Linked DNA regions of Coturnix japonica. The protein of the gene in region 1 interacts with the protein of each later gene in a pairwise test. Links are inferred from orthologs where the notes say so. Each region holds a gene or a part of one and is shown in the gene's direction. Other genes may lie near its edges.

Region 1 (7,006 bases):
GGCACAAACTGAGGCCATTACTTCTTGTTGTATCCCTATTACCAGGAAGAAAAGGCTGACCCCCACCTCACCACAACCTCCTTCCAGGTCATTTTAGAGAGTGGTAAGATTTCCCTTGAGCCTCCTCTTCTCCAGACTGACCAACCCCATTTCCCTCAGCCGCTCCCCATCACACTTGTGCTCCAGACCCTTCACAGCTCCACTGCCCTTCTCTGGACATGCTCCAGGGCCTCCATGTCTTTCTGGTAGTGAGGGGTCCCAACTGAACACAGCACTTGAGGTTCAGCCTCACTACACCCAGTCACCTCCCTGTTCCTGCTGGCTGCACTATTGCTGATACAAGCCAGGATCTCATTGGCTTTCTTGGCCACAGGGACATGCTGCTGGTTCATGTTTGACCATCTGTTGACTAATACCCCCAGATTGTTTTCCACCACTCATCTTTCCAGCCACCCTGCTACAGGCCTATAGAACTGCAGGGGGTTGTTGTGACCAAAATGCAAGACCTGGTACTTGGTCTTGTGGAAGCTCATACAGTTGGTCTCAGCTCATCAATCTAGCCTATCCAGATCCCTCTGAAGGGCCTTCCTACTCTCAAGCAGATCAACACTTCCACCCAACTCTGTGTCATCTGCAAATTTACTCAGGGTGCCCTCAATACTCTCATCCATTCTGTCAATAAAGACATTAAATAGGACAGGCCCCAATGCTCACCCTTAGGGAACACCACTACTGACAAATCACCAGCTGGATTTTACTTCATTCACTGCCACTCCCTGGGCCCAGCCATCCATCCAGTTTTTTACCCAGTGAAGAGTACACCTGTCTAAGCCATGAGCTGCCAGCCTCTCTAGGAGAATACTGTGGGAGGCTGAGTCAAAAGCTTCACCAAAGTCTAGGCAGAATACATCCACAGCCTTTCCCTCATCCTCTGGGTGGGTCACCTGGTCATGGAAGGAGATGAGGACCTGTTTTTCACAAACTCATGCTGTCTAGTCCCGATCTCCTGAGCATCCTGCATGCGCCATATGACTGTGCTCAAGATGATATGCTCCATGACTTTTCCCCATACCAAGGTCAGGCTGACAGGCCTGTAGTTCTCTGGATCCTCCTTCCAATCCCTCCTGTAGATGAGCATCACGCTGGCAAATCTCCAGATGTCTGAGACCTCCCCAGTTGATAAGGACTGCTTAATGGTGAAAAGCAGCTTGGCAATCCCCTCCTCCACCTCCCACAATACCAAGCTACCTTGTTGTTCTGGAAGTAGTTTTGGTTTTGCAAGTGCTGGTTAGTGATTGTGTATCTTCCACTTTCTGAGGCTCTTAGCAGTGAGATCTAGACTCCATAGCCTTCCGTCCTCAGCAGAAAGCTCTAAATCAGACTAAGTAGAAAATAAATGAGAAAGACAGTTTCCTCTTCCTTCCTCCTCACTGGTGGATCATTTTTCTTTAACTCCATAAAGAAAAACTGTCTGCACTGAACAGTTGTTCATTGTAAGCTAACTGCAGCTATCATCTTGGATGGCTGCTGGTCTGTGTGACAGCTTTACATGCCTCCTTGCTGAGACCCTCAAGTTGTCTTCTACACTGCATAGGAAATGCATGCAACATCCCTCTGCTGGTGGGAGCTGCCTTTGAGCACTGATAACAGGACATCCAGATCATGTGATAGCAGATTCTCTTTTTGTCTTTATGTCTGACCTTGGTTTGAGGCCCCAGAGGCATCTCTTTCTATGGCACTTTGCCATGCCATGCAGAAATGCCTGAACTAATCCTGACACCAAACCGTTTTAGCATTATTAGTTCAGTGCTGATCAGCCCGGTCCAACTGCTGTACTATGTTCCTATATTGATTTTAGTTTAGAACAGGCACACACTGATCTCTTTTTATTGTTTCTCTTTTGATACATAACTAGAGTCTGGTAGGTCTTGCAATGCAGGGAACTTTCATTGTCCCTGCTGAGTTTATGTTTCATCTACACAATACTGATGAAATGAGTTCCCATCTCCACATGCTCAGGGTAAGTTCCTGAGGCTAGAGGAGGTAAACACTAGAAATATGGCTGAACAAAATCTTCTGGGAGAAACATTCTAGTCTGGAAAATGGAGCTCCACCATCACTGCAATAATTTGCAAAATTAAATTGATCTAACTGAAATTTCATCTGGGGAAAAAGGAAGGAAAACAGTGTGGAGAAATCTCCCAAACATTTCAATTTCTTCTTTCGAAACTGATTTTTGTTTGGGACGTTTTAGAAATAGATTCTTATATATTGCAAGGCAAAGTGAATTGATTCTGTTGAAGTAGAACATTTTGATATATCTAAAACAATATTCATTCCTTTACTGTGTTTTGTGAGGAGAATTGCAGTGTGATCTGGAGAATTGCTGTGTTTTTAGATAGTGCTCTTAAGCTGAACAAAAGCTCAGATTTCAGTGACTTTGAAAATGATGAAATTCTCTCTCTAAAATAAAATGTTGGCTGTTTGCACAACCTGATTCAGACTCTCTGTCTTCCTTAAAGATCACACACTCCATTCTTATTGGCTTGGGAGCGTGGAGTTTACCAGGTTGCTGACTTCTCTGTTCAGTGGCCTATGAAAAACTTTAAGAAAAAGATATAGTCTCAGGCCTACAATTCTGCCTGAATACCCTTTTTGATACCATCTTCTTATTTATTTCCAAACAGTTTTTTGGCTTGTTTTTTTTCCCTTTAAGTTTCTTTGGTGAAACCTGACTTTCAGGAACAGAACTCTAAGATATTTTGACCAAGAATGTTAAAATAAACCCTTTTGACTTAACTTTAAATATACGTGGCTGTTTGAACTTTAGAGCTACGCTACCCTTTCCTGTTTACTTGAGTTTCCAGTTCAGTGAAACATTCATCCAAGTTTAGGAATGAACTGAGCATGATACCAGCCCACCACAGTAGATAAAAATGGTGGGAATAAGGAGAATGTGGCTGTGGTCTCCCATAGAGAGACTGAGGAGTAACAGTAGACAATATCAGCAAAGCCAATGAAGTCTGACATTAGAATATTAAAGTTCTAATTTCACACCAAGACAAAGATCTGTCTTACTTTGCTGTCTTGCTTGCCCTCCTCCAGGGGATCCAGTACCTGATTGAGCAGCAGTTATTGTCCTCAGACCTGCAGGAGATCGCCAAATTCCTCCACAAGGGTGAAGGCTTGAACAAGACAGCCATCGGAGATTACCTGGGTGGGAGGTAAGAAACCCAAATGAGATAAGGAGGTCCTTTGGATGCCCTGTTCTGCCTAATCCCTCTCAGATGCCATTTTAGATAACCCCTGGCAGATGCTGATGCTGAACATAACCTCACCCTACAGTGGGCTGGGTGGGCAGTGTACACTGGGAGGTGTCCTTTGGAGTGTGGCTGAGGCTGGCTGCATGGGCTACCTGTCTTTCCATCTATACCAGAGTCAGTCTTCTCAGACTAGAGTGGTGCCCGTACATCTTGGTTTCTTGCTGGTTGAGGGGAAAGGGAGTCTGGGAGGGAGCAAGATGCCTGTGATCACACCAAGGAGCATCCAAACAGAGCAGGGACAAAGCTGTCTAATGACCTTTTCCCTCTCTCCTCTCCCAGAGACTCCAAAAACATTCAGATTCTCCAAGCGTTTGTGGCATGTCACCAGTTTGCCAACCTCAACCTGGTACAAGCACTAAGGTGGGTGTTCAAGAAGTAACAAATGGAGCAGGAACCTGTCCAGCCACTGGGTCTTACCACCCAGAGAGGTCATGAAAGCCCCAGTGGGACGAGATTGGGCTTCTCAAGTCTGTGCTGTGCGTATTGGCTCTGGTCTATGAATTGCAAACATACTTTTCCTTGGTGGACCTCCTTCATGGCCTTCTGAATGGACTAGCCATGTTCAGAGAAGATGGGGATAGTGAGGTGGGTGGGTTGTTCTGATTTCAGTGGGTGGTGGGGGCAGGGTAAGTTATTTTTTGTACTAGGAAATACATTAGCTCACAGTGCCCATTATGTCTGTAATGAAGTGACTCTGTCCTAGAGCATCTCATTCTCTTTAGGCAGGTCTTCTGGCAGGGCTTTCTCTCTTGAGGTCCCTGATACCTTGCAGAATGCTCGGTAGGGAAGAAGAGCCATGATTTACAGGATGCTTAGCTCTGCTTCTTCTTTTTAGAATGTGCGAGAGAAATGTTTAGAGAAAGGAGAAGATCTCCTGCTTGATGTGCTGCACTATTTTCATGCTGTGATGAGATAACATCCATTATTTCCATAGTGTCTCATGAGCTGAGGGAAAGGATTCCTTGTACACAAACTGACTAACTCTCTGGCATGCTCTTCCTGCTAGACAGTTCCTATGGAGCTTCCGGCTGCCTGGGGAAGCACAGAAAATTGACCGCATGATGGAGGCCTTTGCCAACTGGTACTGCAAGTGTAACCCAGGAGTATTCCAGTCCACAGGTATTTATAGGGAGGAGAAGGCCTATAAAACAAAGATCCACTGTGTGTTAGAGGGAGGAGCCTTCTTTTCCCAATCACAGTGCATAGAAAGCATCCTCTGAAAGTATGGATGCTGTCTTTCATGTTCCCTTACCTGAAGTTAAAGATACTTCAGTAGTACCTTTTCAGTACTTTTCAGTAGGCTGATGGTCTTCTGTCCTGTTTCTTCTACTGTGCTCCAGCCCATCCCAACAGGGAGTAGGCTTGAGAAGTGCTCCAGCCCCATGTGAAACATGTCTCATTGCTGCATGGGTACCACTTACAGGCACGGGTCTGTAGGAACTTTCCTTGCTAGCAGATCTGTTACCTGACCAGATCTGCCCAAATTGCCTATTTGGGAATTGTCTCCATCACAGGAGATCAACTCTCCCCAAGCCCCATCTACCACTCTTACACCTGGTAGAGGGGAAATCTCCTCCTAAATCTGAAAGGTTGAAGCTGCTCACAAGCAACTAGAAGCCTAGTCACCTGTTAGCATGTGGATTATCTGCTCTGTAAGAAAAATGCCATCAGTCCTGGTTTCCTTTCTCATTGACAGATACTTGTTATATACTCTCCTTCTCTATTATCATGCTTAACACCAGCCTGCACAACCCTAATGTGAAAGACAAACCCCCCTTTGAAAGGTTTGTGTCCATCAACCGAGGCATCAATGATGGAGCAGACCTGCCAGAAGAACTCTTAAAGGTAAGAAAGGTTTTGATCTCCTATTCTATCATCAGTCCCTATTTTCTCTCTGGGTCAGGCTTCACTGTGAATGTAAGGTCCATTGATCTCAGCGTAGTATAATACTGTTGACCTTCTGCCCTGTAAGGGGGAGAGCTGCTCGAGGAAAAAGGTATAAAAAAGGAAGCTGGAAAACATGAAAAATGCTTTGGAGAGTGACTGCAGACATGCTTGTTGGTGAGGACGTGTAGCAAGAGAGACATTCAGAGAATAGCAGTGAACAGTGGTAGCCTTCTACACAGGGACAAGTACAGAATCCTGCACCTGGGGAGGAATAACCACATGCATCAGTACAGGTCAGAGGCTGACCTGCTGGAAAGGAGCTCAAGGAGAAGGACCTGGGCATCCTGGTGGACAGCAGGTTGGCCACGAGCTTCTGCCCTTGTGGCCCAGAAAGCCAATGGTGCATTACAAAGAGCATAGCCAGCAGGTAGAGGGAAGTGATCGTCCACCTCTCCTCTGCCCTGCTGAGGCCACATCTGGAGTACTGTGTCCAGTTCTGGACTCCCCAGTTCAAGAAAGACAGGGAATTTCTAGAGAGTGCCCAGTGGAGGACCACCAAGATGATGAGAAGCCTAGAGCATCACCCTCATGAGGAAAGGCTAAGAGCCCTGGGACTGTTCTATCTGGGGAAGAGAGGGCTGAGGATGAATATCATCACTGTTTATAAATATCTAATGGGTGGGAATTAAGTGGATGGGGCCAGGCTTTTTTGAATAGTGGAACACAGGAAGTTCCATACAAACATGAGAAGAAGCTTTTTTACTTTGAGGGTGACACAGCACTGAAATAATCTGCCCAGAGAGTTTGTGGAGTCTCCTTCTCTGAAGATATTCAAGACTTGGCTGGACACTTTCTTGTGTAACCTACTGTAGGGAAGCTGCTTTAGCAGATAGTTGGACTGGGTGTTTCCCAGAGGTCCCTTCCAACCCCTATCATTTTGTGATTGTTATTATTATTGGACTGTTTAGTTATTGGAAGGTGCACCACCAACCCAGAGCCTAAATGGGGCTGCAGTCACTGTCAGCCCCCTCCTACCCCCTAACATCCTTAGTACTACCTTGTCATACTCAGCTGTCCCCGTATGACATACTGTGGTCAGTCACTGATGCCAGTCCTGATGAATTACATGGTTTCCAAAATGGATTTCCTTTATTTTTGACTCAGGGTGCAGAAAGAAGCTTGCAGTCACTCTTGAAGCATTTTGAGGTGTACACTGAGGGCTGTTGAGGGCTAACGCTCACTGTTACCTCCTTTCCCATTCATTCACCTGCCCCTGTGTAGAGTGATGTACCAGATGGACCTGAAATGGTTGTGTACAACTTCGTCAGAAATATGTCTTTCTTTGTATTTTCTCTTTCTCTCCTTGTTCCAATGCTCTGGGGCAGAATCTGTTTGACAGCATAAAGAACGAGCCGTTCTCTATACCAGAAGATGATGGGAATGATCTCACACATACTTTCTTCAACCCTAACCGTGAGGGCTGGCTCCTGAAACTAGGTCAGTAGGAGCCTTCCTCTAACTCCCCGGGATTCCTCACCTCCATGACTCCCTCCCATCACAAATTTCCTCCAGAGACCCACTCAGGCGTCCAAAACTCATCCAGGCACCAGCATTTCCATTGCCCCTCCCTCCTCTCTGCTGTGGTGGGCTGAGGCTGACACCTGCTGTTGAAACCAGCTGCATGCTCTCTCCTCTCCTCCCGGTCCCGTTCCTGCAGGGTGTCTCTGCTCAAAAAAAAAAAAAAAAAGAAAAAATAATAATAATAAAAAAATGATTGTATATATATATGTATCACT
Region 2 (7,449 bases), on another chromosome or scaffold:
ATGTCTCCACTCACAGTGTTTATTCTTCAGGACGTCCCTGTCACACACCTAGCTGCTGCGATTATTAATTACTATTTATAATTTGCTTTGGGTATGCATTGCAATAAAGGTGGGAGCCTCCTGGCAGCTCCCAGGCTGGGTGGTGGGGCCACAGCTCCAGCACGACTGCGGCTCGGCTGCCCAATGAGTAGGAGGCCCCATCACTGCCCCATTAGACTTCCGATTACTGCGATCTCATTCTAACTACTCCAGAGCACTGCAGCCTCTGCCCAAGGCAGGCAGATGGAGAGGGGATTCCTAGTGCTGTGCTGGTGGCACATGCAGTGAGCAAGGGCACCGGCAATACAACACTACAGCCCATCAAGTCCATACTGCAGTGGGCGTTCCAGTGGTCGTGTGGATTGTCTGATGGTGCGGGCATGCTTTGCTGCCCAGGGTTCCCTCCATGCTGCCTATAGCACAGAACAGGCCATGTTACCACTCCATGCTTTGTGCTGTGGGCAGGGGTGGGTCGGAGCTGTCGGCTGGCTGCCAATGGGCTGCACTGCGACATGAACCTTCCCCTGGTGAACAGCCAGATGTGGGCACGGCTGCCACCTGCCCCAGGAGGCGGTGTGGGCTGTGCGGGTTGCACTGTCCCACACATCCCGGGCGCTTCTCTGCCGTGACTTCCCAAGCCCACGCTGTCACAGCCCTGCTTAGGGTGGGGTGTGGAAGTGGGCACAAGTTCCTGTGCGGTGGTTGGGACCAGGGCACAGGAAGCAGCTTGCCGGGGGGCAGGCAGATGTGTTCCCCTGGGTACCCAGGGCCAGATCCCCTTTGGGTGCATGTGATGCCCACGCAGAACCACGGCCATGACCCGGGCAAAGGGCTCGTGCCTCGCCTGCGTGCAGCCCTGTGCTACCACTTGCTTCCTCTTGGTTTTTTTTCACACTAGCTGTGGAGACATGGTGCGCACCCCGTGTCTGGAGCAAATAACAAACCCACGTCATGTGTTTTCGGTTTCTCTGTTCCCTTGCCTCAGCGGCACGTGCTGGAGATGCACAGCAGCACCTGGGCACTTTCCGTTTGATACAAACACGGTGCCCTGGGTCACCGGTAGAGATGGCAACAACACGCTGTTTGCACGGGCACCCAAAAACATTCGGGGCTGTCGGTGGAGCTTTCACTCCACTTTCACCTGCTTTCCAGAAACTTCCTTCTGGGTGCAGTTTGGCCAGAGGGACACCGGGCGGTTTGTGGCGCGTTGCCCCTGCTCCTGCCCGGGACGTGGCAGCGATGCTGGGGTCACGGCATCGCCTGTTTGCGGCGCGTCCCTCCGGCAGCAGCGCCGAGGGCGGCTCTCCGAGCTGCGGCCAGAGCGAGGGGCGGGGGGTCCGGGCCGGTCCCATGGAGGGAGCAGCCCTGGCAGGCCCGGAGCCGGTGAGAGCAGCGCCGGCCCATGGGCCCCTCGGCCGGGAACGGCGGAGCCGTGCGCTGCGGCAGTCCTTGGCTGTCCCCTCGGCGCTGACGGGCAGCGCAGAAATAGCAGCTGGCCCAGTTCTCCCGCCCCCGTGGCCCAGATCTCTAAGAACGGAGGTTGTTCGCGCGGCAACAGCGGCAGCGGCATCAGGAGCCGCATTTAGACTGTGAGCTCAAAGAGCGGGAGAGGCTGCCAGCAGGATCCCAGCCTGCACGGGTGACGCTCCTGCTTGGAGACTGCGCTGCGGGCTCTGTTTGTTGCTGTAAACACGCTGCCGCTGCAGCTTCCCTGTTACTATCTATAGCCGCGATCTCTTGGCTCCCGTGCGAGGCGAGGCTGCGGTCTGGCCGCCGGCTCTGCCTGCCCCGAGCCAGGGCTGCCGACATCCCCGCCGTGGGTGGGTGTCTCCGGGCTTCGCCGCGACGGGGATCAAAACAAAACCCAAACTGGAGGAAAGGACGGGCCTCGCCCTCGCCGCTCCCCCCGCGCCCCCCGCCCGTGCCCCCGTCCCGACGCCCGGGGGGCTTCCCCGAGAGCTGCCCTGCCCCGGGCCGCCCCGCACTCCTTCCCGGCCCTCCGTGTGCGTGACCCCGCCGGGGGGACGCGTCCCCGCCGCGCTGAGCACCCTCCCGCCGCGGGGCAAAGGGGACGAAGGGCGCCGCGCCCCTCCGCACCCCACGCGTGTCCGCGGCCGGCTCCCATAGCACGAAGCCCCGCCGGGCCGCTCGGGGCGGGGGCTGCCGGCCGCGGGGGAGCGCCGCGAGGGGGGGTCGGGGCGGCCCCGTCCCACCGCGTCCCGTCCCGTCCCGCGCCGCACTTGGCCGCAGCCTGGAGCGCTTCCCGTCAGTCACGCCCCCTCGCACAGGATGTATCCCATATAAGGATATCTGCGTCAGTGGGTTCCCGAGACCGGCCGTACCACTCCGCGAGGGGGGGGTTATCCCGGAGCGGCTCCTCCCGCCCGTCCCGCCGCGCTCCCCTCGCCCCGCCGCGCCTCCTCCGCCCCGCGGTGCCGTCGTTCCCCGCACTTGGAGGCGGAGCGGGGCGGGCGGCGGGGCCGGGAGAGCGGGGCGAGGCGGACGCGGGCAGAGCGGCCCCCCCCGCGAGCGGGCGTGGTGCGTCCCGCGTGACGTGTGCGATTCACGCGGAGCAGGATATAAAGGGTTGGCGCCGAGCGATACTCCAGCGGCAGAGGCAGCTCCGGCAGCGGAGACAGAGACGCGCGGCGCGGAGCGGATACAGGGACGCAGCCGGCCCCTCTTTGCGTTCTGCCGCGAGGCGCTCCGCTATAGCACCGCAAGGCCCCCGCACGGCCACGCAAACAGCCGACATGATGTACCAGGGCTTCGCCGGGGAGTACGAGGCGCCCTCCTCCCGCTGCAGCAGCGCTTCCCCGGCCGGGGACAGCCTCACCTACTACCCGTCCCCGGCGGACTCCTTTTCCAGCATGGGTTCCCCCGTCAACTCGCAGGTGAGGGGCCGTTGCGCGGCCGCCGCGGGGCTGGGCTCTGGGGGTGCTGGGGGGAGATGGGTGCGGGGGGCGCGCCTCGGGCCGGGTCGGGGCGATGCGGGACCCGAGGGGGGCGGGTGGCTTCAACCGGGCCGGGGACAGAGTGGGGAGCGGCCGCGACGCCGCCGCGGGGCGGGCGGGGGGAGCCGGGGTCCGGGCTGCGCGTTGCGGCGGGTGTGTAAAGCGGCTTCATTGATAAAACGCGAGTTCATTGAGGAGACTCCGGAGCGGCGCCTGCGTCAGCGCGGACGTCAGAGATATTTATATCGGGCCGCTCTCGTGCGGAGCGGCGCTGGCGGCGCGGCCCCGGGGGCGGCGGGGAGCGGCTCGGAGGGGAGTGTCGGCCGCAGCCCCCCGCTCACCGAACCCCCCCCCCACTTTATGTCCCGCAGGATTTCTGCACCGACCTGGCCGTGTCCAGCGCCAACTTTGTACCCACCGTGACGGCCATCTCCACCAGTCCCGACCTGCAGTGGCTGGTGCAGCCCACCCTCATCTCCTCGGTCGCCCCCTCCCAGAACCGCGGGCACCCCTACGGCGTGCCGCCGCCCGCTCCCCCCGCCGCCTATTCCCGCCCCGCCGTGCTGAAGGCGCCGGGCGGCCGCGGGCAAAGCATCGGACGAAGGGGCAAAGTCGAGCAGGTGAGCGGGGCTAAGGGGAAGAGGAGGGGGGTGGAAATGGGGGGCCGGGAGAGGGGCCGGGGCGCGGGGAAAGGCGGGGGGTCTGACGGACGCGCTGACCGCCCTCTGTGTCCGCAGCTGTCCCCGGAGGAGGAGGAAAAGAGGAGGATCCGCCGGGAGAGGAACAAGATGGCAGCGGCCAAGTGCCGCAACCGGCGGCGGGAGCTGACCGACACGCTGCAGGCGGTGAGTGCCGCCCCGGGATCCCGGGGGCTGCGGGGCGGGGACGGGACCCCGCGGGTGGGGGCGGGCGGGTGAGGTTGGCTCCGGCTGACGGCCCGATCTGTGCTTCCGCAGGAGACCGACCAGCTGGAGGAGGAGAAGTCCGCTCTGCAGGCGGAGATCGCCAACCTGCTGAAGGAGAAGGAGAAGCTGGAGTTCATCCTGGCGGCGCACCGGCCCGCCTGCAAGATGCCCGAGGAGCTGCGCTTCTCCGAGGAGCTGGCGGCCGCCACCGCGCTGGACCTGGGCGCACCCAGCCCCGCCGCGGCCGAGGAGACCTTCGCCCTGCCGCTAATGACCGAGGCGCCGCCGGCCGTGCCGCCCAAGGAGCCCAGCGGCAGCGGGCTGGAGCTGAAGGCCGAGCCCTTCGACGAGCTGCTTTTCTCCACGGGGCCGCGGGAGGCCTCCCGCTCCGTGCCTGACATGGACCTGCCCGGAGCCTCCTCCTTCTACGCGTCGGACTGGGAGCCGCTGGGCGCCGGGAGCAGCGGGGAGCTGGAGCCCCTCTGCACCCCCGTGGTGACCTGCACCCCGTGCCCCAGCACCTACACCTCCACCTTCGTCTTCACCTACCCCGAGGCGGACGCCTTCCCCAGCTGTGCTGCCGCACACCGGAAGGGCAGCAGCAGCAACGAGCCGTCGTCTGACTCCCTCAGCTCCCCGACCCTGCTGGCCTTGTGAGGGGCTCGCCCCGCACTGACTGACCTGCCGGGCCCCCTCCCCTGCCCACGCACCCCCACGGACTCACCACGCCCCCCGGGCCTGGGGAGGGCACTGCCGCCGCCACCCCCACCCCATCCATCTGAGGCCCGGGGCCTGATGGAGTGCCTGGGCCCATACCTCCTCCAGAGATGTAGCAAACCGCATGGAGTTTGTCTTGTCCCCAACGGCCCATCTGTGAGAGCTGGTAGTCTGTAGCATGTCCCACATGGCTGGGTTGGTGACTCCCCCCCTCCTTAGTATCACTAGCATTAACTAATTAATCCCTTGGTTTTAAATGATTGGAATTAACCTGGTGCTGGGTATCTCCGACTTGTATCTAGTGCAGCTGATTAACAATAACTACTGTGTTCCTGGCAATATCGTGTTCTTAGCAACGACCCATCTTATGTGGGGGGGGAAAGAGACTCTATTTTATTTTCTAGTAGGTAGATGAATAGCTATATCCATGTACTGTAGTTCTACATCGATGTTCATTGTAACTTTACTGATCATGCGTTGTTGAGGTGGTCTGAATGTTCTGACATAAGTTTTCCATGAAAACGTTTTTATTGTGTTTTTAATTTATTTATTAAGATGGATTCTCAGATATTTATATTTTTATTTTATTTTTTTCTACCTTGAGGTCTTTTTTGACATGTGGAAAGTGAATTTGGATGAAACTTAAGCATTGTTTGCTTATTATTGTTCAGAGACATTGTCAATAAAAGCATTTAAGTTGAGTGCTGGTGCTGTCCTCACTTTACCTTTTGCGCTACTCCCTCTGACCCCAGTGGGGCTCCCTGAACTCTACTTGGGGTTGGGCTTTACCGAAATCTGACTGCCGTAAGCGTAGGGTGCGTTGGGGTGGGAAAACCATTAAGTGCAGATCTGTCATTGCCCTGATGTGTTAGTCAGCCCTGGCTGTGCCTATGCCCTTCCCACCCGCTGGTGGGGCCACCCCTCCCCTGACCTTCCGGCTTCCGTGGGCTGGTGCACCTCTGTGTGTTGCCTGCCGTGGCCTTTCTGTGATAAACCAGAGGCGTAGGAGGGGTCTCCCCCCTGAACTGCCCGGGCCATCTCTGTGCTGGGATCTGCTCTGTCACTTGCATGTGGCTGGCAGCCCAATTTCTTCCTTCATAGGGAGGGGTGGGACTGCAGCCTTGCTTTGTGTGTCCTGGGCTTGCTACTGCAGGAGCAGCTACTGAATGTCTTCTCATGATGTTTGCACACGTCTCTTTGAACAAAATAACATATGGCACAATACATTTCCTCAGTGTTTTGTATTGGTTCTCTTGGTCCTTGGATGAATGCAAGCTATGGCAAGCAGCTTATGAGCTCTCTCCCCACCAGGGTCTTGTCTGTGCAGCCTGGACTCTTCTCTGGCTCATGTGAAGAGGTTGCTGCTCTCTGTTCCTCCTGCTGCCTGCACAGCAAAAAATGTTCCTTTGGTGGGCAAATGTCTCTGTGTGCAGGAGGCTCTTCTGCTCATCTCTTGATCAAGAATGTCATTTCCAAGATGATGGCAAAGATGCCACCTGTGCTGGCACATGCAGCTGGCCGAGGATTGCTTTTTCCTTTGAGGAAAGCCTTTGTTACTTTGAGGGTGACAGAGTACGGGGATGGGCTGACCAGAGAGGTGCCTGACATCTTTCTCTGGAGATATTCCAGACCTGCCTGGCTGCCTGCCTGTGTGACCTGCTGCAGGGAACCTGCTTTAGCAGAGGAGTTGAACTCAGTGATCCTCAAGATGCCCCTTCCCACTCCTACAATTCTGGGATCCCGTGACAGCATGCTCAGGAAATCTCCGCAGGACTCTGGAGGTCACTAGCATTCAGGGTTAGGTTTGTGCAACTGGAGGCTTCCTGGTTATGGCTGCAAGCTCTGCTTTCTTCACCCCTTCCAAACCAGAACACGCACAGGATGTACCTCATCTCAGCAGTGTGTATTGCACTGCTCAGGGCTTGCTCAACACCACCCGCGCTGTGCAAAGGCGAGCATCACTTGTGCTGCTTCCGTCTTTCAACACACGGCTGGAGGCAGCAGTGACAGCTGACAAGGAATGACCCTGGTTGCCACTGAGATGCCACCTGCTCAGCAGCAGCCACTTTTGAAGCATCACTCTAATTTACAAGGACAATACCCAGGCGCAGCAAACACACAGTGGCACTGACCCCAGAAGTCATGTAGATGTAGCTACAAGAGACAAGTGACTCGGTGAAGTCAGGAGATCTAGAATCACAACGTGTCTGCTGCTGAAAAGACCATTGTGCTCCTGGCTGGAGAATTCAGTGAGCTGCATGTTCAGCAGAGGAAAAAAGCGGCCTCAAAATACCAAGCAACCCCCTGCAGGCAAGTGGGGTGATCCCAGCCTCACGGCCTCTCCCCATTACTAGGCAGAACCTTGGGCTGTGCTCCTATCTATGGTCCTCCTGCAGCCTCTCTGAGGTTCGTTCCTTCCAGCAGTGGTAACAGTGACCACCATGTGCCAGAGTCAGTGTCTGCAGCACATGAGATGTGATCCCAGGCTCTCACCCTGTTCTTTGCCTTATCACAGAGTCACAGAAAGGCTTGGGTTGGAAGGGACCTCAAAGCTCACCCAGTCCCAGCCCCTGCCATGTGCAGGGCTGCCCCCCAGCAGCTCAGGCTGCCCAGGGCCCTATGCATCCTGACCTTCAGCCCCTCCAGGGATGGGGCACCACAGCTTCTGGGCAGCTGTGCCAGGGCCTCACCAAGCATCCATTGCCCAGTACTGAGGACTGTGGAGCAAAACTGGCACAGATCGTGCCACTGAGTTCAGCAGAGCCATGAGAGGGAGCCGTGCGGCAGCTCTGCTTGGGATAGATTAGATACAAATGCAGGTGCCTCAATGACGG
Region 3 (7,502 bases), on another chromosome or scaffold:
CAAGTCATGTTGGGAAGATGGGTGGGGACCTGCTGTACGGGCCCTCTCCCTTTTCCAGCCCGCTGACTATTGATTTCCTTGGCAGCATGTAGAGAAGAAGCGGTAAGCAGGAGCCTACCAACTGCAGCAGTAGATTCTCTCCTCCCTCTCAGGAGCTGAGAATGGACTTGGCTCAGTTCCCAAAGTACAGGTCTAGAAAGCTTTTGTTTGCAGAAGAAACAGGAGTTGCAAACATGTAGGATCAAATCCATCTAATTATTTCCCAGTGGGGAGTGCTTGCATGGGATGCTGTCAAAACATGTCTTGGCATTAACCCTTGAAGAAGCAGTGGTGGTCTCAGTGGTGCACTCCTGCTGTCATGCAGGAGCTGCTCTGTGAAGCTTTGTTCAGGAATGGGTTTGATTTTTCACTAGCAGGTGGTCAGGTAGGGGATTTCCTTCCATCTCCCTTACTGCTTTTCCATGTGGCGGGAGTCACATAACCCTCATCCCTGCATACCGGGATTCCATGAAGATGGAATGATGGGCTGGGTCATACATCTGGTGTCCTACTGTGACAGTGTGATCCTTGGTGATGTGATTGGTCCCAATAAACTGCAATAGATTTGACAACCTATGGTTTTGGCTTTTTGTACAGGAGGGCATTAATTCAACTAGCATTAGGCAGAAGGTCCTTTGTCGAAGGAGAGGAGACAAGGAAGCTGGAGTTGGATGAGCAGCAAGATGTTGCAAGGTGAGGCACAAACACCAGGGGGTACTCTTGTGAGTGAATCTGGCCACAGGAAAGTGCTTGGGTTGCTTCTGAATAAAGTTTGCAGTTGTGCTCACAATGAATATGGGCTGCGTGTGGGGGAATCTTCTAGCAGGATGTGGGAGAGTCTCAAATTTCAGTATCATGATTCATTTCCCCAGTGGTTTACCAAAGGAGGGAGTATGGTTGGAAGCTGCCATGAAAAATACTACAAGAAATGGCAGGGAACAAAAAAACCACCACCAGAGTTTCAGAAATCCTGAACTAGCTCTTCTGACTGACATGTGAAGTCTCCCCAGCTTCACTCCTGCAAATGTGGATTTCACTGTCTCTAGGGAAATATTTGGCACATTTTCAAATTTCAGAAGATTTTGGGACACTCTGGTCTCACACAGTGCTTGCTGCTTGGGTAGCTGGGTAAGATGGGAAATGTTTTGGCAAGGGTGGATGAATCTGACAGCACTGGTTCGGGATAGGAGCTGTAGGATGCAAGTTGCACCAGCCTAACAAGTTTGACACAAGCTCTTCAGGTTGCATATGTATAATGTCTGCATCCTAAGATGAAGCAAAATTCAGTTGTGATGAAAATAAAAGTATGGCTCACAAACCATTGGTGGAAAAATATATGCATGGTTTCTGGTGGCATTCTGTTATTACTACCTACCTTGCAACCTTCAATCCTTCTATCTTTGCTGAAGCACAGTAGTCTGTGGTGGCATGGGTGCTGCATGTGGATTCAGACAACAACTAACTGTGTGTCTCCTGCAGAGCACCTTGGGCTGGTTCTACATGCTCATGCTGCTTTTGTTCTCTAGGACAAACAAGCACTTCTCCTGGAAAGTTAACAGGGCAGATCGGGAAGGAACAAGTCAGCACAAGGTCTGATTCTTCTTTTTTTTGTGTCAAATCTGATCTGTTTGGTTTAACAGGGCCGTTCTTGATTTATGGCTACAGGGCTGAAATAAAAGTAGGATCTTGTTGACAGAGAGGAATCAAGTGAACTTCTGAATAAATGAGAAAGGGAAATTAGAGAAGCAAAAACAGATACTATTTCTTCATCCTTGAGCACCACACTAAGTACATTCATTTTGTTTATGTGTGTTCATTTGTTCTCAGCCTATATCTGGGAATTTTTAATGGTATTCTCCTGTGAGTTACTAAATAGTGAGAGCATCTTGAACCTTCAAAATGTAGCTGCAGTTAAGTCTGTGAAATGCCTAGGAACAAAACAGGTGCTTACTGTGTTGCGGTATCTGAGAAAGCAACATCTGGCCTTTCTGTTCCTTCCCAGCCCTTCCAGCTTAAAACCAATGCACATCACATCAGGTGGCTTTCGAAATGATGAGTTTGCCACTAGATCCTCTTGTCATTGTCCTGCTCACTGCAACTTTTGAGAACGATTTTTTAGATAGGTATATAAAGGCTGGAGATGCTGGAGTATGTAAACACAAGTGAATCTAGCTGTTAATAGGTCTGAGAACTGGAACTCTTGTATTGTAACAGATACAGTGCTGTATTTTAGATGGAAGGTTATTCTTCAAATAGAAGTTGTTTTGATATGTACTTGGACTATTAATTATGCTTGCGATTCAGAAATGCACAAAGCGCCATTTGTGTGCATCTTCAGCAGAGTTCATGTGGAAACACTGAATCATCCAAATCATCTGAATGATGCATACTATTCAGGGGCTGTTTTCTTCAGCAGGCAGCTGGTGATCTCTCTTCCTGTATTCATGGGGCAGTTTTGAGGGGGTGGTAAGAAAAGGAAGAGGGGAAGTAGTCCTAGGTGCCCGGGCAGCCCTCTTGGTTCACATATGCAAACTTTACGAGTGATCTCTTGACTTGTGGTAAGTTAAAACTGTATTCAGAGGATTGAAGTAACGATGTACATTATGAGCAATTTATACAAGTTGTTTTGTTTTAAAGTAATGATGTTTTATACATTTTTCAGGTGTGATCTGCTTAGTGTAAGTTATGTTTCAAGCAGTGCTTCCTGAGGAGGATGTGGGAGTCGTGCAAAGGCAGGAGGAGATCCCTCAGATGGGGTGGATTCTGTGTCTGCTGTTCTCATCTAACAGTCAGGAGATTTGGCACTGGCCAGGAAATGGAAACCCAGCCTCTGTCTTGTGCAGCCTTAATTTTATGTGTTCAGCAACCTAATCTTGGTGGTAGATTGTTTAATACAGAAAAAGGTAATGAGAGAGAATAATGAGACAAACAGAGTGATAATTGAGTGAATAGTTTTTGTTTGTTTTGTTTTTAATGTAGTAGGGATTAGGGGAGACAGATACTGTCCTTCCTACACATCAGGCAGCTTTAGTTTTCCAGCTAATAGGATGCATTTAGTTTTCTCTGGGATATTTTGTTGATAGTGGCAAGCGAGCACGCTGTGACTTTTTATGTTCTACCCCTTTCTGACACTCTCACTTATTTATATCGTGCACATTTTGTAACAAGCAGAACTGTACAGCTGTAAATGTCCACAGCACGCTGGATCCATGATTTAATTATTTTCTAAGCACGTTCATACAAAAAAGAAAATTAAAAATTAAGGTCTAAGTTGCAGAAGTTAAGTGTCTGGGTTTGGAATAGAAAAAGCAATGCAGAGGTGACTTGCTCAAATAACTTGTTGGCTCGATATATGCATACATGCACACATATATACACACATATATATCACTATATGTATGTACTTATAAGCAAAGATCAGTGAAAAGATTTGGGGCTCTTGTTTTCAGCAGGTTCTTCCTGAAAGTCTCTTATTAACCAAACTAATGGAGAATTTCCATTCCTTTTAGTTACCATCATTTTAGGCCAGCAGTGCCCATCACTGAAGATGGAGTACTTACTACAGCAGATAATTTACAAGGAGGGGCAATGGCATTTTAAAGACTCTTTGCTCAGGGAGTGTTGGCTCCTCAGAAAATATTGAATAAATTGGTGTTGAATAGTCTTAAGTGACTGATTTGTTCTTATAAGAAAAAACGTGATAAAGATTTCTGTAAATAAATAGAAACTATAGGGCTAATTTTCATAGGACAAGAGGTAATAGGCTTAAATGGAGCATGGGGCTGAAAGTTAGTAAAAATTTATTTACTAAGAGAATTAAACACTGAATTAGAGATCTGAAGGAAGCTGTGATGCCTCTGTTACTTGCTGCAATTAAAAAACATGTTAGGTAGCCCTCTGTCAGGAATAGTCCAAGTATAATTGACCTGATGGGAGAGGCAGACTTAATGATTCCTCAAAATCTCTTTCCAGTTTTGCCTCGAGTACCTCTATTATGAGGAAATGCTGGGTCTGTTCAGCCATGAGAAAAGAAGACTCAGTGGGTATCTGATCAATGTCTATAAACATCTAAGGTTCAGAATGCAAATGTCCAGACTCCTTTTGGCAGTGCATGGCAAATAGGACAAGGGGATATAGCCAGAAAATTGAATCAGAGGAAGTTCTGCACAAATCAATCTAGTTGGTAATCTTTATCTCCTCTCTGGACCATACATTTTTTCCCATAAGTAAGAAATGCTTCTTCAGGCCTGTGACTGTTACCTTGACTGTGATTCAGTGCACATGGGAAAGCATCAGTTATTTCAGGAAGCAGTAGATGAGTGTATGCATATGATTCCAAGATTAGTTCCTGGGTACATTTTCAGATAACTGATGTATATGCAATTAAAATGTTTGAAGATGCGAAGTGCCAAGTTTACTGATAAACAATGCTTAGTCATGCAAATAAACATAAGTATTTAAATTAGAGCAATTTCAATATGACTCATATTGTGTAAAATAATTTGTATAAAAATACGGAATAGGCAATTTATTAGTGGGAACAACCTTTGATTAGGGGAGCTGAGTTTTAAGTTTTTTAGGGAGTATTAATATGCAGCAAGGTAGCAATGTAAGAGAATAATAAACTAAGTTAAAAACTAATAATTAATAACCTTTGTTTTTCAAATGCATTGAGAACTATAAGCAAGATACTTATATCTTCTTTTCTCTGCTTGAGCTGCACTACAACTCAGAGTGTCCTGGGAATGCTCAGATATGAACTGCCTGAAACATGGCAGCTTTACTGGCTGGTTTGAGTCATGACCTATGGTACTATGGTAGTTTTGTACTAGGATTTACCACCACTTTTCTGCCAAGATCTTTCTTGAACAGACTTTCTGTGAACGATCTGTCACCTTTCTGACTATGAGTAACAGAAAGTGGTAGGAACACTTGACACGAGGCCTTTGGCTACATAGGAGATAGCGTGGCAAGATTTGACACTCAACAGTCACTTTTACATCTGTACACAGTTATGTGAAAGGTGAGAAGAAATGAAGTGCTAGGACCAAGGCTTTGTTCTGCTGCAAAGAGAGCTTTGGAGAGTTAGAGACAGATCTTTAATGTTTTTAAATATGATGGTATCTTCTACTTCCCTTGGAAAGCGGGACTCTTCTTAGAGGTAAGCAGGACTTACCTCTTCTCGACAATGAATGAACATCACTGTGTTATTATTGGTACATGCCTCTTCATCACCTCTAGCAATATATCTGGGCAATGCAAATGATGAATATTTGATGGACTAAAGGAATGTATTAATGAAATTATGCCCTGTCTTTTGTTTCTGTTGCCAGTAGTTGTTTAAAGCGGAGAGTGCCAGAGTTCAACTAACCTTCAATTAAAAACCAAGAGAAGGAACGGTTTGCTTCTTGGTTTGTCAACACTGTGTAGTGTCTCCATTCACCATCAACTGGTCAGAATACCCACGGTTTATTTATCAGTAAAATGGGAAAGATCAAGTGAACCTTCTAGTCTGGCTTTATAGTTTTAGTGGAAATTGCTGAGCAATATGAATGCATTTACAAGTGTATATTTGTGGGTATACGTTTGTGTACCCATATATTTCTAACCCTGCTCAGATTTAAACTACTCTTCAGTAAGAGTTCTCAGAGATGAAATTGCAGGACTTGTCAGCTCTTGCTACACCTTTTTGAAGAGCATATAGTTGAAAAGTCAAGGCATAGATCTACCAGTTGCCATGCTTCCCTGATAGCACAGCAAGTCCCCTCATCATAAGAAGGAAAAAAGTCTGTCTCAACTCAAACTCTTGATGTGAGTTACACAAGATGCAACGTTATGCCAGTATGAGAGGTATGTTTCTCTTACTTTATTTTTCCCCCTTCCCTTTAAACTGAGAATGTACAATAAATCTTCAGTCGTTGAGATTATGATGCCAGTAAAGAATCTTGAAAGTGTTTTTTTGTGGTTCCCTCCCCTGTCCCATTGGCTAACAACTTTCAGTGCAAAGCATCATGTTAATCATTGCTGTTCTCTTTCTTGCACTTGGAGTGCAGCTGTGTCTGGCTCCCCATTTAAAAGGGGGTCAAATTGACATTCAGAGTTGAACTTCAAAGAAAGCCCGTTGTGATTTCATGACCTTCCTAAAACTGGTATCTTTGCATTTTAAATAGGAACTTTACCTTGGAGGAATTTACAACTTATTTTCCTCTCAATCCTTCTCTCTTAGGTCCTGGCTCTGTTCCAGATTGTAGAAACTGGATTTGCAATTGCCTTATTTACAAGGTGGAGTTTCTTTCCCCCCCCCCTTGTTTGCCTACCTTGATAGATTGCAGACTATCAGGCGCCATTTAACCCTTTAACAAAAAAATCTTTCTTTTCAATTCCTTCTGTCTTAGCAATACATTCATATTCTTAAGAAACCCTCATCAGAATGAATATCAAAAAAATGGTCATTGTGGATTAAAACTGTAATACCAGACTGAAAGTCAAATTATGGGCTTCCAAGAATGGCTGAACCGAAGAATGGGACACAGTTGTGTTTAGTTTTGTTAGCTGTGAATTTGACTTAAAATTCCTGCTTATTTTTCCAATTAGTGTACAGATTTGGATAAAAAATCACATAAATGGTTTGATTTTTCCAGTCAAAACTTAAAACAAATCTCAAACATGGTAAGTATTTAAGATAATAAAGCCCTCACTGCAAACAAGTCCTTGTTTGAGTCTGTGGTGAGAGTCAATGGATGAGTGAGGGTCTGTTCTAGAGTTTGGCTACAGGAAAACTTCTGAGCTAATTGGTTGTCCTCCCAGTGTCCATGGACCTTTGTTGAGCTCTTCCTTTTCTAGGAAATGTCCACAGCAGCTGACAGGCCCTGTTTGCATGTCTGGAGATAGAGCAAGAATGGTCATAAACTTGCTGAGGTCGGAAGGGACCTCTGGGTCTATCTGGTCCAGCCCCCCTGTGGTTTATGAAGATCCCCTGGGAGGACACTTCACAGCCTCTCTGGGAAACCTCTGCTGTTGCTCTATCACCCATGCAATATAGAAGCATTTCCTGTTTCTCAGAGAGAACGTCCCGTGTTCCAGTTTGTGCTCATTACCTTTTGTCCTGGCACTAGAAAGTACTGAAATGAGCCTGGCTCTGTCTTCATTTCACCTTCCTTTCAGGTATTTGCATATGTACATAAGAACCTCCTGAGCCTCCTCTTTAGGCTAAGAAGGCCTTTCAGCCTTTCCTCATATTGTTGCTCTGCTCCCTGCATCATCTTAGTGGCCTTGCTCTTTGTAGTACCTCCTTTAATCTATGACAGGGAATGATCTGTGACTGGAGGAGCTGGAGTGTTTGTTGAGTAATTCAGCACTGGCTGTTGCTGAAGATCCTCGATGACATCTCCAAATTAGAGCAAAGACAACTCCCCACACAGAAACATGTTTGATGTCTGCAAGGTTCATCCACACAACACCTT
Region 4 (7,659 bases), on another chromosome or scaffold:
CCATGTCGCCGCGCAGCAGCCGCCGCACCGGAGCGCACCGGGCGCACTCGTTGGCCCGGCAGGCGAAAACGAAGCGGCGACGTCGGGACCTGGATGAGATCCACGTGGATCTGCGGCCTGAACGGGCCGCGCGGCTACTGCGCCAGGAGCCCGACCCCGACCTGCCGGGATGTGCCCAGTTCTACTGCCTGCATTGCGCGTGCGTGGGAGGGGGGTCTTTGGGGGCGAGTGGGGGCTTAGAGGGGAGGGAGTGGTGGTCAGTGGGGGGGTCATGAGGAGGGTGGGATTCCTACAGGGTAAGGGCGGGGGTCCCCATGGGGAGGAGTTCTGCAGGGGAGAAGGGGTCTGAGTGGGTACTGGGTTATGGGGAGGAGGGGCTCCTGGTGTGGAGTTCTGGCTGGAGAAGGATCTGAATCTGGGGAAGCTCTGCCTTCTGGGCACTGACCCTGGGGTGCTTGTTCTGGAGGTGAAGGATTCCCAGATCCATACAGCTCTATACTTCCCCTGACTGTGGCCTTTTGCTCTTCTCTCCCCACCAGACGCTATTTTGTGGACCTGACAAGCATGAAAGAGCACTTCAGATCCAAGGTGCACAAGAAGAGGTAATGGGGGGTGCTAAGCAAAGCTGTGCCCAGCCCCATTCCCAGTATAAGAAGGGCAGTGGTGGTGTCGGACTTGTCCATGTGCTTCCCACCCATCTCTGCCCCAACAGGTTGAAGCAGCTGAGCGAGCAGCCCTATACACAGGAGGAGGCCGAGCGTGCTGCTGGGATGGGCTCCTACATCCCCCCAAAGAAGGTCCATGTGCAGACCCAGTCCCTGGATGAAGTCGTGGAGATGGAGGCATCCAGCTGAGTGTCCATGCACAGGCTCCCTTTGTCACTGTGCTGCTGAAAGGACTCTTTGTTCAGCTCTTTGCCAGGCGCTAATGAGAAGAAGCAGCCAGCGTGCTCCTGGGTGCCCTGTCTGCAACCCCATTCCTGGGGGCAAGCATGGGTTGCTCCATGCTGTGCAGTGTTGTGCTCACTTCTTTGCATTCAGAGAGGTATTAGGTGCCTCTGCTGGAGTTAGAGGTTGCATTGCCATTAAAATATATCAATGAAAACACCGGTGTTTGAGCTCTCTGGGGCAGAATGGCAAAGTCCCACTGTTCTTCCCTCATAATGGGGAGGAATCCCCCACCTGCTGGGGGTTATGCTTCTGAATGAAGTCTTCATCAAGCACTTGGGTTTACTGTAAGCAGGTCACAGTGGGACTGCTCTTTTGGGCCTTGAAGAGGACATGCTAGTGTTCCCCCCCAGCAGGTACACTTCTAGGCTTGTAGAAAATCAGTTTAGGTCTGGTAGAACTCTGCAAGTGAGGGACTGGAGCTGTGCATGCTGTGTGATATGGCCCTCCTCATTGCATCCCCCCACCTGCCTCTGCTGATCACACAGTGTTGTGTACCTGTGCTTCTGCTGGTTGCAATACTAGTACTGCTGTGTTCCTGCACTGAGCCACACATCAGGGGTTTTTCCGCCCTGCTGCTTAGCAGCGTGACAACAACACAGCTTTGTTCAGAAGGAAAGGATTTATTTCCATGCACACTGCCTGGATTTATTCCCCCCTGCCTTCAGAAATCAAAGCGACCAAGTCCAGCTGTCAGCATCCAACTCTCTGCTGGGGAGAGCAGCCCCACTCTCTGCTCAGGGTTAATGAGCATGGGGAAGGGGAAGGCTGTGGTTGCACTGGAAGAAGCACTGACTGTGCTTTTTATCCTTGGGCAGGAGGCAGCCTCATGTCCACACATATCAGAGGCTTTTCCTGGTCTCAGTGCTCTGTTACCTAATGCTGCACAGAGCTGACCTCCTTTCTGCCTCTAATAGGGGGGGGTGGATGTGGCACTCAGCTCTTCCATCTTCTGGTCTTGTGCCCAGTCCTCGGGCTTTGCTGGGGTGTGGGGCTGTGCTGGTGGCCCTGGGTGCTGCTTGCTGCATCCCTTCACGTTGTTGGGGGCTTGAGACAACTTTGTGTCCCATCCTGGTGGCATCCCAGCTCCCAAGACAGGGACAGGTGTATGTTCCCCAGCTCCAAGGCATGGATGGGCAGGATGGGGCAGTGGTGTAGGTTGTCTGGGGAGAGCCACCATCCCAAGGCCTAGATGGGGACCAGGAGACCATCCCCACAGCCCATCAGGGCTGTGGGGGGGCCTTGGGGGGCCCAGCCATCCTCCGGGTACTGTAGAGGGAGAGGCAGAGCCCAGCAGCTGCCAGCAGCAAAGCCATGGAGGGCAGCACCCGCTCCCTGGGCTCAGCCCCACGTCCTGCTGCCAGCTGCATCTGGAGGAGATAAAGATGACGGCAATGGCAGACCCCAGCCTCAGAACCCCAACAGGGGCGTTACATGGCCTGAGCACCCCCATTGCACCCAGCTGATGCCTGATATGTTATTGGGGTGACCCCAGCACCCTCACAGCCTGCTTGGGGGCATGGATAGGGCCGAGTGCAGCCCCAAGGCCCGCTGGCCACATGGACAGGATTGCTCTGCAGCCTGCAGGCCTTGCAGGCAGGGCCCTGGGCTCCCCGTGAGCCAGGATAGGGCTGAGCACAGCTCTGTGGCCTTCAGGCCGCGTGGGCAAGATCTCGGGGTCCCCCTGAGCCCCTTCCCAGCCCCACGAGCACCTTACCTGGAGCAGGCGGAAATAGCCCGGGGTCAGGCGGCGGGGACGGATGATCATGGTGCAGAGGGAGGCAGTAGGTCGGACCCACGGCCCCTCCACACACGGCTGGTGCGGCACGGCTGTCAGCAGCGATCAGCGCCCGCTGCTCCCCCAAGCGCACACGGTGCGGCGGGGGGGCATGGAGGCGTTTCAGGGGGGATACAGGGCGGGTTTGTGGCTTGGAAATGACATGGTTGGAAGGGAGGCAGCGCCTCGCCTCAACTTCCCTATTGCAAATAAATCGTGCTCAGGGGGGACTCCAAAATCCCGCATCAGTGTGGCTGCGTCAGTGCTGGGAGTTGTGCCAGGCCTCAGCTGTGGTGCAGGGGGAGTCACAGCTCAGGAGGTGGGAGTGGAGGATGGAGCTCCCTGCAGTGAATGCTGTCCCTGTGAGGGCCTTTGATGGCTGCAGGCCCCTGTCTGCTGCGTGAGTCACTTGGGTGCGTCGTGGTGCCTCACCCCACCGAGCTGTACTGGGAGGGAGGGAGGGAGGGAGGAGAGGAGGCAGGAAGCTGCGGTGAGCAGCACTCAGGTCCGCCAATGGGGCCGCCCTCACCTGGCGCAGGTGAGCAGCGACGAGGGCGGTTCCGGCCCTGCCGCCATGGAGCCTGTGGGTGCTTGGGGCCCTGCACAGACTGCGGCCTGGCTGCGAGGTGAGAGCCCTCTGCCCCAAGATCCCCCCCTGGGGGAAGACCTCAGCCCTCAGGTGGGAGGGTTGCGTCCCTGCTTTGGGGGCAATGCTGTGGTGACATTGGGAGCCCAATGTTCCCCAACCTTCACTCTTCCCAAAATCCTGAGGGATTTCAAAGGGAGAGCAGTGGGGGCTGTGAGCACGGTGCTGGCTGACACCTGGTGCCCTCATTGCATGAATGGAACCAGGTGTCACCTCCACCATCAGGTCACCCGCGCCAGGGGACAGCAGACGGGTGTCAGGGCCTCCCCCTCACCCAGTGCCTGGCTCTCAGCAGGGCTGGACACAACCGTGCAGGGGTATCTCTTTGAGGAGTGGGGTCTGGCAGGAACTGAGCTACTGAGGCTATCAGAAGGAGCTCTGGAGGCACTGGGAGTATGGCGTGTAGGACACCAGGAGCTGCTGCTGGAGGCCGTGGAGCAGCTCCGAGCTCTGGTGAGCAATGGTTCAATGGATGGTGGGGTCTGGGATGGATGGAGGGGGGACATAGAGACAGCTGGATGGAAGGAGAATGTCAGGATACTGTGGGCTGCAGGGAAAAGGAACATGGGAACACTCTGGGACTGACGGATTGAAGGGGAACATGGATACAGCTGGGCTGGGTGGGACATGGAGGGTTATGCAGAGCTGGATAGAGCAGGGGGACATGGGGATACCCTGGGCTGGTTTGGAGGTTGAGGAGGACAAAAGGGGATGCCTGAGTCTCATTAGAGTTGAGAGATGGGAACACTTCAACAGAAGTTGAAGGGAGACATGGAGATAGCATGGGCTGGATGGAATAGGATATTAGGTTACCCTGGCTGCATGAAGAGGGGGATATCTGGGACACTCTGCACTGCATGGGTGCTGAGGAGGTGATGTGAGGACACAATGGGCTGGATGGAGGAGGGATACAGGGATACTTGGACTAGATAGGACATGAGTAGTTTCCTAGGGCTGGATGGAGTAAGGAACAAGGGGATGCTCTGGGATAGATGGAGGTGGGGACAATGAGATTGCCCCAAGCTGTGGCAATGGGAAAGGCTGGGGCGGAATCCTGGCCACCCTTGGCCACTGTCCTGGCCACGTCCTCACTGCAGGACACAGAGCTGGGGAGCACCAGCCTGAGGACACTAACAGAGAGGCTATGGGAGCTGGCACAGCGCACTGAGACCACGGTACTGGAGGGGTCACCTGGAGGGGCCACCCTACCGCCACCCCCCATCACCCTGCTGGCCTGCGTCGTCGATCTGATTGGAGCTGCCAAGAGGCTCTTCTCCTGGCTCAACAGGTCTGGGGCAGGCAATGGTCAATTATGGGTGCTGTGAGCACATCGCCCTGGTGCTGAGCTCTCAAACCTCCGCTCCAGGTACCTCTTCTCCACCCTGAATGACTTTTCATCCACTCGGGACATCGTTCTGCTCTGTGCCCACCTGGTGGAGGTGCTGCAGATGGTGGGTGGCCACACAGCTACATGACCATGCTGATGGGCACAGCACAGCTAGTCAACCTCCCATCCCCTAAACCCTGGAGAAGGGGGAGAGATGGGGTGAGGGAGGAGGTGTTGGGGAGGGCTGGAATTCAAATGATCTGTTTCACTCACCCCTGCTCTTTTTCCTCCCAGGACTGCTCTACTGCAGAGCGGAACAGCCAGATTCTGTATATAGTGAGTGCTGGACAAAGAAGGGGCTGTGGACATGGGGGTCCCAGCAGTCCTGGACCCACCCCATATCTACATTTTTACCCACAGTGCCAGCACATCATAGGCATCTGCAAGAGCATCGTGGGCTGCAGTCCCCCAGCACTGCTGGACCGCAGGGCCATGCTGCAGCATGTGGAGCTGGCACTGCCCCTCACACCACGTGAGAGCCCTCCAGATTCCCCCAGCACCCCCACGCTGCCCCCTGAACTGTGGGGCAGCCCCCCACCATCCCCCAGCACCCCAGTGCTGCCTCCTGAGCCACCAGGGAGCCCTCCAGCATCCCCCAGCACCCCGATGCTACCCTTCAGTCCACTGGTGAGATACCCACTGCCCCAGTACCCCTCACCCTCCTTCATCCCTCCTCACTCACAACTTCCCCACTGCACTGCAGGGCCTGGAGATCACCTCCACCAGCTCCTGCATGCACTTTGTGTCCATGACCAGCTCAGAGGTAAGCTGGGGCCTGTTCCCTTCTTGTTTGTTACTGTCCTCTGATGCCACCTTGTCCCCCTTTTTACCCTTGGCTATTTGGAACACTGCAGCCTGTCGGGCTGGGTCCTGGGAGCTTCTTAGGCCTTGTACCACCCTCCTGTCGCCAGACTGCTGGATGGCTGCATGTGGCTGAGTCTGGGCAACTCATGCCATGAGTGGCTGCAGCTCATTCCACCATCCCCCACCCCTGGACCCTTGGGGCTGCCTGGCACCAGGGTCAGTCCCTGGGTTAATGGTTAACCCCACTCTCTCCGAGTCACTCTACCTTCAAGTCCTCCCAGCCCGGAAAGCTCCATAAAGTTCCCTGTTGCCTGTATCTGCCTCAGGCCCTGGCTGTGCACGGGGGTCGCATCCTGCCCGGGGATGAGATCGTGCAGGTCAATGAGCAAGTGGTGGTGAGTTGGGGACAGGGGCACATGGGGATGCTGGTTTACCTGGGAGGAATCCCAGTACAGCTGGAGCTGTGGGTTGCTTTCCTCTGGCTGGGAAGGATTTTGTGAATGCAAGAACGTGAAACAGAGAGGATGTGGGGACCAGGAGGGCACATGGGGCCAAGCTGTGACCCTACTCACCTGGTGCCCTTGGCAGGTGGGTTGGACACGCATCAACCTGGTGAAAAAGCTGCTGGAGAAGGCGAGTGGAGTGTCACTTGTGCTGAAGAAGGTGCCCCTCAGCCTGCCTGGCTGCCCCCTGCCCACCAGGCTGCAGGTGAGCATTCCCAGTGATCCCAGTGCCGGACTGGGCTGTGCTGGGAGACAGCCCTATGGGAGGTCATCCCAAAATGCGACAATGCAAGGTGAAGCACTGAGTCTCCATTCACAGGTGCCAGGTGCCCATCTGGATGGTGTGGATCTCCCCAAAAGCAGCAAGTGCCCGAGCAGCCCCTCGTCCCCTGCATCCAGGTGAGCCCCAACCTCGCGTCCCTTCGCCACAGTGCAGAGCCTTTGTGCGAGCAGCCCAGGCAGCTGCCAGGAGTCTTAAGCAACAATATAAACAAAGAGAAGTGCCTCTGTTTGTAATTAATTCACTTGGTAACATTTTAATGGGGAGGGAACTATATTTAGAAATGACCCTTCTCCTCGCCCGGAATGGAAAGAAGCACATCGAGCCGTTGGCTCCGTGGGCTGAGCTCACTGCTGCCGGGAGCTTTTCCGGGCGGGAGCAGTACTGGGAGCCCCACAGCCGGGCAGGGGGCACTGTGTGGCTCAGGGGACCCTTCTCCCCCAGCACCACTGCCGACGTGGACTCAGGGCCGGACCCCACCGCTGACAAGGACAAGCACAGCACAAGCCAGAACAGGGAGGACGTGGGTGAGCTCCAGCCAGCAGCACTCAGCCTCGGTATGGAGTAGGCTGAGGGGAAGGATTCATTTCTCCCCCAAGGACAGGACGCTGCAGCCTTGCTCACTGTTTACAGGTACTGGGGAGGACGCAGTGCAGGAGGCCAGCACCCCACCAGGCACCCCAAGCTCACTGTGTGCCTTCCAACCCTGCACTGCAGAGTGCAGCCCCACAGCAGCCCCCAGGGCACAAAGTGCAGAGCCCAGCCAGACCCCCAGGGAGGTGAGAACTGGTGGGAGCATGGAGCTTTGCGGGGTATTCATGGGGGACACGAGGATCGTGTTTAGGGGCAGCTTGCTGCTGAAGGGTGGGCGAGGTGGGGGTCCCACGAGGCTGTGGGTGCTGCATTGCTTCACATTGCATCTGTCCCCATCCAGGGCAGCCCTGAGACGGGACGCAGACCCAAAGGTGAGTGGGACGCCACTGTCCCCAGGCTGGGGTGAGGTGGGCTGGGGGCTCGTCCCCCTGCCCCGCTCCTGAAGCCCCCCAAAATGCTGCAGGAGTGGCGACCAGGCTGAGCCGCCGGCGGGTCTCATGCCGGGACCTGGGCCGAGTGGATTGCGATGGCTGGCTCCTGAAGAAGAAGGACCATGTGGGCTTCATGGCCCAGAAGTGGAAGCGCTGCTGGTTTGTGTTGAAGGGCCACACGCTCTACTGGTACAACCACCCCAACGTAAGTGAAGATGCCCTCGCACCCTGCCACCAGGCTCTGCTCCAAGGCGGGCAGTGGACGTGGCTGTGTGTCCCCCACAGGATGA

What was found.
Region 2: the proteins of CYTH4 (region 1) and FOS interact in a two-hybrid assay, tested with the Homo sapiens proteins (2 studies listed by BioGRID and IntAct). The two-hybrid records come from large-scale screens. The link is inferred for Coturnix japonica from reciprocal best matches to the Homo sapiens genes CYTH4 and FOS.
Region 3: the proteins of CYTH4 (region 1) and IPCEF1 interact in binary tests that used the Homo sapiens proteins (3 or more experiments, as listed by UniProt). The link is inferred for Coturnix japonica from reciprocal best matches to the Homo sapiens genes CYTH4 and IPCEF1.
Region 4: the proteins of CYTH4 (region 1) and CNKSR1 interact in binary tests that used the Homo sapiens proteins (3 or more experiments, as listed by UniProt). The two-hybrid records come from large-scale screens. The link is inferred for Coturnix japonica from reciprocal best matches to the Homo sapiens genes CYTH4 and CNKSR1.

Annotation. Positions count from the first base shown.
Region 1 is NC_029516.1:46,897,167-46,904,172, reverse strand, and holds part of CYTH4 (cytohesin-4), read left to right. Parts: intron 1-3,105; coding exon 3,106-3,224; intron 3,225-3,602; coding exon 3,603-3,683; intron 3,684-4,329; coding exon 4,330-4,442; intron 4,443-5,019; coding exon 5,020-5,168; intron 5,169-6,595; coding exon 6,596-6,707; intron 6,708-7,006. UniProt on the Homo sapiens protein: Promotes guanine-nucleotide exchange on ARF1 and ARF5. Promotes the activation of ARF factors through replacement of GDP with GTP.
Region 2 is NC_029520.1:34,665,894-34,673,342, forward strand, and holds FOS (proto-oncogene c-Fos), read left to right. Parts: upstream 1-2,631; 5' UTR 2,632-2,792; coding exon 2,793-2,933; intron 2,934-3,364; coding exon 3,365-3,613; intron 3,614-3,730; coding exon 3,731-3,838; intron 3,839-3,949; coding exon 3,950-4,555; 3' UTR 4,556-5,316; downstream 5,317-7,449. UniProt on the Homo sapiens protein: Nuclear phosphoprotein which forms a tight but non-covalently linked complex with the JUN/AP-1 transcription factor. In the heterodimer, FOS and JUN/AP-1 basic regions each seems to interact with symmetrical DNA half sites.
Region 3 is NC_029518.1:45,231,061-45,238,562, reverse strand, and holds the start of IPCEF1 (interactor protein for cytohesin exchange factors 1), read left to right. Parts: upstream 1-2,420; 5' UTR 2,421-2,597; intron 2,598-2,701; exon of another isoform or gene 2,702-2,942; intron 2,943-5,051; exon of another isoform or gene 5,052-5,889; intron 5,890-6,265; exon of another isoform or gene 6,266-6,321; intron 6,322-7,502. UniProt on the Homo sapiens protein: Enhances the promotion of guanine-nucleotide exchange by PSCD2 on ARF6 in a concentration-dependent manner.
Region 4 is NC_029538.1:259,566-267,224, reverse strand, and holds the start of CNKSR1 (connector enhancer of kinase suppressor of ras 1), read left to right. Parts: upstream 1-3,238; 5' UTR 3,239-3,298; coding exon 3,299-3,350; intron 3,351-3,665; coding exon 3,666-3,823; intron 3,824-4,467; coding exon 4,468-4,658; intron 4,659-4,736; coding exon 4,737-4,821; intron 4,822-4,827; exon of another isoform or gene 4,828-4,841; coding exon of another isoform or gene 4,842-4,916; intron 4,917-4,991; coding exon 4,992-5,384; intron 5,385-5,460; coding exon 5,461-5,520; intron 5,521-5,887; coding exon 5,888-5,956; intron 5,957-6,149; coding exon 6,150-6,269; intron 6,270-6,383; coding exon 6,384-6,463; intron 6,464-6,788; coding exon 6,789-6,901; intron 6,902-6,977; coding exon 6,978-7,123; intron 7,124-7,278; coding exon 7,279-7,309; intron 7,310-7,401; coding exon 7,402-7,574; intron 7,575-7,654; coding exon 7,655-7,659. Other genes in the region: ZNF593 (zinc finger protein 593), read left to right, coding at 3-199, 540-602, 713-854. UniProt on the Homo sapiens protein: May function as an adapter protein or regulator of Ras signaling pathways.